Kluyveromyces lactis: one gene and its partner. The protein of the gene in region 1 purifies or fractionates together with the protein of each later gene. This does not show direct contact. Links are inferred from orthologs where the notes say so. Each region holds a gene or a part of one and is shown in the gene's direction. Other genes may lie near its edges.

Region 1 (4,383 bases):
TTTCTTCGTCCCGTGCCCCCGCTGTTGAAATGACTTACCCCACATAAAGTTTCAAAAAAAATGAAAAATCCGGGAGCGTGTTAGGGAATTAACGACAGACCCTGAAGGAAAGTGAGTAAACGCTTCAAAGAGCGGCTTGAACATGTTATATTCCGGTCTACCCCGGAGAAAGATGTTTCACGCGCTGAACAGGAGAAGGTCATTGTATATATTCCTACTTTTTTCTGTTGCCTCTCTACTTTCTGGTGCTATTTGTAAGAGTTTTTTTTGTTTTTCATCTTTCCGCCGGATTGGTTAATTTCCCCGGAGATTCCATTTCTCCGGCCTTGAAACTGCCGTACAAACCATTGGCTCCTTTCGAAAATGGTGGAATCCACTTCCCGAAAATGACCGAGCTGACAAGAAACTGCCCAACTGAAGCTCGAGGGATTCGAACCGTTTAAGCTTCACTGACGTCCGACTATCTACTTTGACAAAAAAAATAAGGACCTTCTTCCATACTCTTATTTGACACCAAACACTTACGTAGTTATGGTTCGCTACAGTTAACACAGGAACATACAATTATAGCAGAGATCGTAATATTTGGAAAGTAGAAAAATGAACTTGTCATTGTTCTGCGCTGGCAGTTCCGATTACCTTGGGTAATTGTGCCAGTTTAGTTCTGTTCATCTTTACATGAAGCCTTTCTAGATGCCTTCGTATCCTGTCTTCTTCTCTGTGTATATTCTGAGTATATTATCGTAACCGTATGCGACAAAACGTAATTGAACTGGCAACTGACTGTAGATCAGTAGTGGGAAACGCAATGTACTGCCGGTGCTCTGATTAATTCCCCTCAGTTACTCTGTGTCGCCTAAGAAAATGTCCTTAAGCTTTTTCCTTTCTTTCATAATCTCCTATATAGTCCGGGAATCATATAGAGAAACAGGAAAAAAAAAACGAAGAAACATCGATGCAGTCCCACATAAAAGTCCAATTTTGGGCCAAAAAAAAAGTATGAACAGTGGAAAACAGCACAATCATTGGAATTAATACGATCCCAATTCAGGAATTAAAGAAGGATTTGCTTTGTTTCTGTGAAATCAGGTATTCTCCGTGATTTGGCCCTTTTCCAATTACTTCCTGCTCCTTCTCTCTTCGCTATTGGAATTGTACAACTTTTAGTTCAAGTATAATTTCAGTTTTATACTTATTATACTAATTTTTTTTTTCTTGGGTAACGTTTCCTTCCAAACTAACAGATTTCATTCAACCTTCAACACTCCAGGAGTACTGGGACTAAGTAATTAAGCATTGAGGTGGGTACAACTCTTGGATTATTAAACTGAGGCCAAAATCATATATTACGCGAAATTCTATCACTACCACCCCATAATTTCATCCTATTTTCTGTCAAAATAAAGGAATACAATTATCAGGGGAAGGAACAGTAAACATAGATTTCGGAACAAGAAACATTAGAGTACGCTTCACAAATCCCAGAGAAGAACCATTTTAGCTGCAGCAGAAAGGGTGTCATAAGAGATACCAATACGTTTTACTTTGTTTTCAAACTATGCTAAGCGCATTAATTCAAAATGGAATGTCAAAGTCTGGCGATCCAACAGATGTGGAAAACAATACTACAAACGGATCGTCAAGTACCACGGACAATGCCAATGATGTCGGAAGAGGTGTTAACACTGAAAATAACTCCAAATTGGAAAATGACAGCTCGAATGCAGCGACGATAACTACATCGAAACAGGACCCATCTGCTGTAGATGAAGCAACGACTCCGAGGTCGATCAATACAGGAGCTTCTACAGTACCTGAGCCTGATAATACAAGAAGAGATTCTGTTAGCAGCAATGTGTCAACGGCGACAACAGAATCGAGAAGAAGATCTAAGGTGAGCAGAGCTTGTGACCAATGTCGAAAGAAGAAAATTAAATGTGACTTTATTGAGGGGCACGATATAAACCCAGATCAGAGCTGCACTGGTTGTCGCAAAATTGGTGAAAAATGCAGTTTCGAAAGAATTCCGCTGAAAAGAGGACCGTCCAAAGGGTATACTAGATCAAATAGCCAAAGCAGAGAAAGACGAGGCTCTCAGCGACGCAGATCTTCTTCTGAAGTCTCTCAGAAGGGCAAGAAACCTTCTGTTAGTAATCCTGTGAATGCAGTTAACGAATCAAAATCAGAAGTGGATGCTTCCTTACACCCAGGTCAATCTGCTACATCGACGACGAACGTATCATTACATCCATTGTTACAGTACTTACCAGGAATGAACCATTCTGCAGTGTCTGCTTCATCTCCTTCAGCTTTGCAACAACCTTTTTGGAAAGTTCCTTATCACGAGTACCAGAACCAGCGAAGGCCATCGCTTGATTCATTGGCTAGTGATTCTTCACAAAAACCCGGTGGTAAAACAAATCAACAACAGCCACTTCCGTCGCAATCACAACCACAGTCGTTACAAAATATCGGTAACTCAAGGTCAAACACTGGGCCATTACCTACGCAGGACACTTTCCGCAACCAGAGGTACTACTATCAACCGTCACAAGATTCGGTGTCCGAAGCAGGCTCAGATAACAGAAGAGGATCATCTGCCATCCCACCACTCCTTAACCCGGCCATTCAGCTTCAACAGCAGCAGTATTCTTACTCACAATTTGCCATAGCGCAGCAGCAGCAGCAGCAGCAACAACAACAACAACAACAACAATTGCAATTACAACAACATCTACAACAACAACATCAGTTACAACAACAGCAATCCCTTCATTCGCCCCAAGCCAACACTATGAATGCTAGTACAGGTATATCGAATGGAGGATTTGTGCCATATTCAGGGAATAAGGGACTTCCTTCAGGTGGTCACGTTCTAGAGAGAACGGATAGTGTTGCTAGTGATGCAATGTCGTTAAATGCCTCCCCGAATATTTACACTGCAGAGGTAGAATCGGCTCCAGCGTCACCTGTTCAAAAGAAGAGAAAGAGATCAAATAGATCAAGTACATCAAAAAAAGGGAAATCTACCCAACAGAACCTGCCTGCTACTACTCCTACTTTGATTAACTACGGTCAGATCGCTGATGCCCAATTAATTGACACATACTATGCATATATCCATTTGAGGTTCCCTATTATTCCTATCAATAAAGACACTTTAACTAATGATCTATTACTCGTCAATACCCAACCAATTTCCGAATTACATGAATTAAACAACTACATCTTACTTTGGTTCAGAAATTCATTGGAACTACTTATTCGCATCTGTTTAAAAGACAAAGAATCAGAAGAAATATTGTATCAACAATCAACGTTTGTCAGTGCTATCAATGAATGTTTCCAGAAAATTGTGGATATTCATCCAAGGTTTAGAGACTTGGAAACCCAAATTGATGAGAAAATTGCTACGATATATCTTGTTACATTCATTATCCTCAATTGTACTTTGGCTTTAGTCAGCTATAACAACTCTTTCGTCCTTGGAATGTCGGTAATTATTTTCAATGAATTAAAGCTCTGGAAAAATTTTATCTTCGGCAATTGGAATACTGTTACTGGTCACGATAAGATCTGTTTGCGATTGTATTTTGAATTGAATACATTTGACTCTTTACAATCTTGTTCTTTCGGTGTGCCCAAATTAATGAATTTGAAGCTTGACGAAACGACTGCATCAAAGCTATTTTATGACGAAGTATCAAATGATGGTACCGGCCAGGAAACGGATAAATGGAACGTTGACGAGGATCCAGAAAGAATTCGAATTATAGTTGATAATATGGAGTTAGGCTATTTCCTATCAAGACTATGCCAAGCCAGAAGATCGTCTTTCGAGAAACCTCTACCTCTTGTCGGTGAACATAACGAAAATAAAACTATACCAGGCCTATTCCGTGCATTCCTTTCAATTAAAAGACAATTCACTGACACTTTACTTGACTTACCAGATGCTGAGGGGAAGCTACCAGAAATGACACCAGAGCTTGTCACGAGACTAAGCAATATGATTTGTGATTTGACCACAACCATTCATGACTTACTAAAACTAAATGTCGAGGTCAACCCCACTAATTGTTTAGAGTTGTTCCCCGACAATTCTATGCAAACGGTAGACGAATCTTCGGCACACAATTCAGCAGCACAATCATCAGATCCGTCGAATATTGAAGTTGGGACCGTATCACCCTACGTTATCGCAATATACAAAGATCTATTTAACGTTGTTGAATTGATTAAGAACATGCCAACCTCGTTAATTGGATGCGTTATGGGTACACAGGCTCCAAACTTCGATTCACAGCCACTAGTACTACAACTATCTCAATGCATGAACAACATGCTACAGATAACAACCTTTACTAGCAGTTTGAGCCCTTT
Region 2 (4,580 bases), on another chromosome or scaffold:
GAGTCCGGTTCCCGCTCTGCCTTGTCCTTCTGATGAACCCACCTTCCTCCATCGTCATCTTATTTTCAACTCAGAGATCAGTGCAAGTTCCCTTGTTTGATGCGTGTATTCTTATAATTTGCTGATGCTAATCAGTATCTCCAAGCTTGCAACAATGTATTAAGGTTAGCCTTTGTAGTATTTCGGGCTTCAGCAAACGCTTTTTTCATCAGAAATGAATCAGGATCCATCATCATAGGTAAATGTTTAGCCATGTAGAAAATCACATCAATACCTTTTCTTTTTCGAGGAAAATGCAGTCGTTTCTTTTTAATCAAGATCAGAGTTGTTCCGGGCGGAGAAACTTGCCAAGGTGACGTACGTACCTCAATATTTCTTTCGGAGAAACAACAAGATCAGAATGATCACGTGACCAATTGACCAAAAGATGTGGCTCATTCATAGGAATAAAAACCGTACGCTCTACACTGTACACTACCACGCGTCTTCGCTCACTCCATGGTATACAAGGGTGTTGCTGTCATACCGTCTCGGCTGTTATGCGAAGGTAACGAAATATTTTTTTTTTTTCTTTCGAAAAAAACGTCGACTCAAGCCATCATCACAAACTCGTCCCAGAAGCAACGTACGACTCGCATATTTGCTGAATCTGGCAAATCGCATACCGTAATATCATTAGAATTAGCCCCAAGGCAATTCTTAAGCACTCGAGGGAAAAAAAAAAGATAGAAACGAACATTCACACACAGAAACTTACAGCTGAGAGAAAGAAAGGAAACAGTAGAAAAAAAGAAAAAGCAATGATGAAGTAAGCCTGATTAACATGGTGGTGCGAGCGCCAATGCTTTGCATACTTTACCTGCCTCTGTTCCACTGAAAATCCAACAGAGAAGTGTTTGCAGCAGATAACACGAACACAGACATCAGTTTTTTTTTCCCCGGTCAGGGTGAATTCATCGCCTCCCTCCACTTCGTATTATCACCCCTCGAGTTTTTGATTCGTAATAGAAGAAGGCAAGAATCCTGTGATATTTTATCGTTTCTTCCATGATGCAGGTTGTCAGAGAGAAGATTCTATATGCCAGGAGATAAAATAAAGAGCTACTCCACAGACCTACCTGTACAAGTAGACTCAATGGAGACGTTCATACACAAGAGTAATTAGATATAGGGTAGACATAGTACTAAATAGATACAGCATCTTGACATAAAACTGACGGTTTGCCAAAATGTCGACATTACTGAGAGATTCCGCTAAAAACGCCCGCAGATTCCGTTGAAAAAAAAAAAAAAAAAATTAAAAATAACAAATAAACGTTTGCATTGGTTTTGAAGAAACAGAAAAAAAAAAATTGAAATAAATAAATGTTTAGAATTCTACTAACACGATACTTAAGTTTGATTGTCAACATCTTTGTTGTTTTTTTTGGAGAGAAGGACACAAATAGGTAACGAAGATCTGCGAGAATTATTGGTTCTGTATTTTGATAGTAGGTTATAAACCTGGAACGATTGATCGTACTTTAGCTCAGTGATAATAGCGAGAGCCAGGTTATTTTTTAAGTGTGACGTAAAGGGTTTGTATTTTGGTCTACTAAAAGCAAGAAATATTCAGACTTATAGCCTGGGAAATAGCACGAATACACTCTCACACGCTTGTACTATACTATTTTTCTACTTATAATTTTTTTTCTTTGTGTGCAAAATATAAACAGATTGGATATCCAGGTTTGGATTGTATCGAATAGGTAGGAAACGAAACAGAATTGGCGTTTGATATATGCTGAACGCAATTTCAGGTCCAGCAATGGCAGTCTCGTTACAACAACAGCAACAGCAACAACAACAACAGCAACAGCAGCAACAGCAACATGGATTATTGGGACACCAACATCAGCAGGGCATGTTGCAAGGGTTACCACATACCATGAATGGTGCGGTTGCTGCTTCTCAATTAGCAATGCAACAACCAGGCCAAGCGTCAGAATATGGCAATGAACAGGTACCAGGACAAAGTCAGTTGCCGATAGAGGTACGTCCTCAGGATTTGTTGCCGGTTAAACAGCCTTTGAAGCCTCTAGATCCGTTGTCTCAGTCCACAGCAGAGACCTGGCTGTCCATTGCATCTCTGGCAGAGACTTTGGGCGATGCTGATCTGGCTGCAATGGCATATGATGCGACTTTACAACATAACCCATCGTCGACAAACGCATTGACATCGTTAGCTCATCTATATAGGTCTCGTGATATGTTCCAAAGAGCTGCAGAGCTTTACCAAAGAGCTCTTTCTGCGAACCCAGAGCTGGGCGATATATGGGCTACTCTTGGCCATTGTTATCTAATGCTTGATGAATTACAAAACGCATATGCAGCTTATCAACAAGCCCTTTATCATCTATCAAACCCAAACATACCGAAACTATGGCATGGAATAGGTATTCTATACGACCGTTATGGATCTTTGGATTACGCAGAGGAAGCATTTGCCAAGGTTTTGGAACTTGACCCACAATTCGAAAAGGCAAATGAAATTTATTTCAGGTTGGGTATCATTTACAAACATCAGGGGAAATGGAATCAAGCCTTGGAATGCTTCCGTTATATCCTGCCTCAACCTCCTGCTCCGTTACAAGAATGGGATGTCTGGTTCCAATTGGGTAGTGTTTTAGAGTCAATGGGTGAATGGCAGGGAGCTAGGGACGCGTATGAACATATCATATCACAGAACGACCGCCATGCAAAAGTCTTACAACAGCTCGGTTGCCTATACGGTATGAATAATGTATCATTTTATGACCCACAGAAGGCTCTAAATTTACTTCTCAAATCTTTGGAAATCGATTCTACTGATGCTACTTCGTGGTACCATTTGGGTAGAATTCATATGATCAGAAATGATTACACCTCTGCATATGATGCCTTCCAACAAGCCGTTAACCGCGACTCAAGAAACCCAACATTCTGGTGTTCCATAGGTGTATTATACTACCAGATTGCTCAATATCGTGACGCCCTAGACGCTTACACCAGAGCAATCAGATTGAATCCTTATATCAGTGAAGTGTGGTACGATTTAGGTACTCTATATGAAACTTGCAACAATCAGGTCAATGATGCATTGGATGCATACAAACAGGCTGCAAGGTTGGACCCTAACAACGTTCATATTAGGGAAAGGTTAGACGCCCTCACTGCTCAAATAATGAATCAACACCAATCGGGCGAACAGCAACAACAGCAACAACAGCAACAGCAACAACAGCAACAACAGCAACAACAGCAACAGCAACAGCAACAGCAACAGCAGCAACAACAGAAGATTGAATACAATCAGCAGCCTGCTCTTCCTTTACCATCTCAATTACAGCAACCCCAACAACCAAACCAACAGCCACAACAACCAGTGATGTTACAACCAATGCTGCAAAACAACACACAAATGTTCAATCCTCTGAATGACAAGCAACAAAATGGCCAGGAGCAACAATATGCTGTCCAACAGTTCCAACAACAGCAACCTATTCAGCACACTAATATGCCACCGGTTCTTCAAAGAGTTGATCAGCAGCATCCACAAGTTGTGCAGCTACTGCATCAACAGCAACAACAAGACCACGAACATCCACAACAATATCAGCAATCCCTGCAAACTCAACAACAACTACCACCACCACAAACCCAGCAGGTGCAACAAGGACAGCAAGGACAGCAAGGGCAGCAAGGACAGCAAGGATACCAAAATGGACAGGAACAATCGCTTCAAAATACCACACAAGCCTCCCAGGTCACACAAGCTCAACAAATCCCTCCGCCACCCCAAGTGCAACAAACCATTCCTCAAAAGAGACCTTTGGAGGGGGGAATGGATACATTGTTCAACGCTATCTCACAACAAGAGCAGGAGCAACAGAAGCAAAAGGAGGCGGAACAGCAGCAAACGACAGCACCACAAGTCACGACACCCCAAGTTACGAACACCGTACATAGTACACCTTCCGAGCCAAAAGTCGAACCTAATGATAACAACCTTGGCATCGTCAACGATACAAACAGCACCATTGCACCAGCTACGCAAAATGCTGACACAACTACCATCGTACCAGCAGAAGGAAAGCAAGAGTCTGTACAAGTTACTGAGGCTGAGGGACAGCAACCACAAGAATCTCAGGCACCTGCTGGTGAACCTGAAGCACCAACCTCAGAAGCTAACGTTGTTGAAAACACAAGTGCCACCGAGAATCATAATGGAGCAGAACCTGCAGTAGCTAAACCTGAGATAACGGAGCAACACGCCATTGACACTCCTGCTGCAAATAACCTACTCAAAGATGGCTTCTCTGACAGTCAACAAAAGATTAATGGAGCCCAGAATAAAGATGCCTCCTCTGAAACTGTCGTTGAGCCTGTTACGAAGAAACAAAAACTGGATACGGAAGAAACCGTAATCAAGCCAAGTGCTGATGCAATTGAAAGCATAAAGGAGCAGGAGAAGATTCGCCAAGAGGAGGAGAATGAAACTCTGGAAAAAGTCGAAAAGAGTGCGGAATCCATTCCAAAGGAAAAAGTTGTGAGACAAGTCG

Evidence for each region.
Region 2: the proteins of RGT1 (region 1) and CYC8 purify together in Saccharomyces cerevisiae (affinity purification with western blotting; 3 studies listed by BioGRID). This does not show direct contact. The link is inferred for Kluyveromyces lactis from reciprocal best matches to the Saccharomyces cerevisiae genes RGT1 and CYC8.

What each region holds. Positions count from the first base shown.
Region 1 is NC_006042.1:2,376,906-2,381,288, forward strand, and holds the start of RGT1 (Rgt1p), read left to right. Parts: upstream 1-1,558; coding exon 1,559-4,383. UniProt on the Saccharomyces cerevisiae protein: Glucose-responsive transcription factor that regulates expression of several glucose transporter (HXT) genes in response to glucose.
Region 2 is NC_006038.1:812,523-817,102, forward strand, and holds the start of CYC8 (transcription regulator CYC8), read left to right. Parts: upstream 1-1,780; coding exon 1,781-4,580. Other genes in the region: DNA repair protein RAD16, read right to left, coding at 1-52. UniProt on the Saccharomyces cerevisiae protein: Acts as a component of the CYC8-TUP1 corepressor complex which is involved in the repression of many genes in a wide variety of physiological processes including heme-regulated and catabolite repressed genes.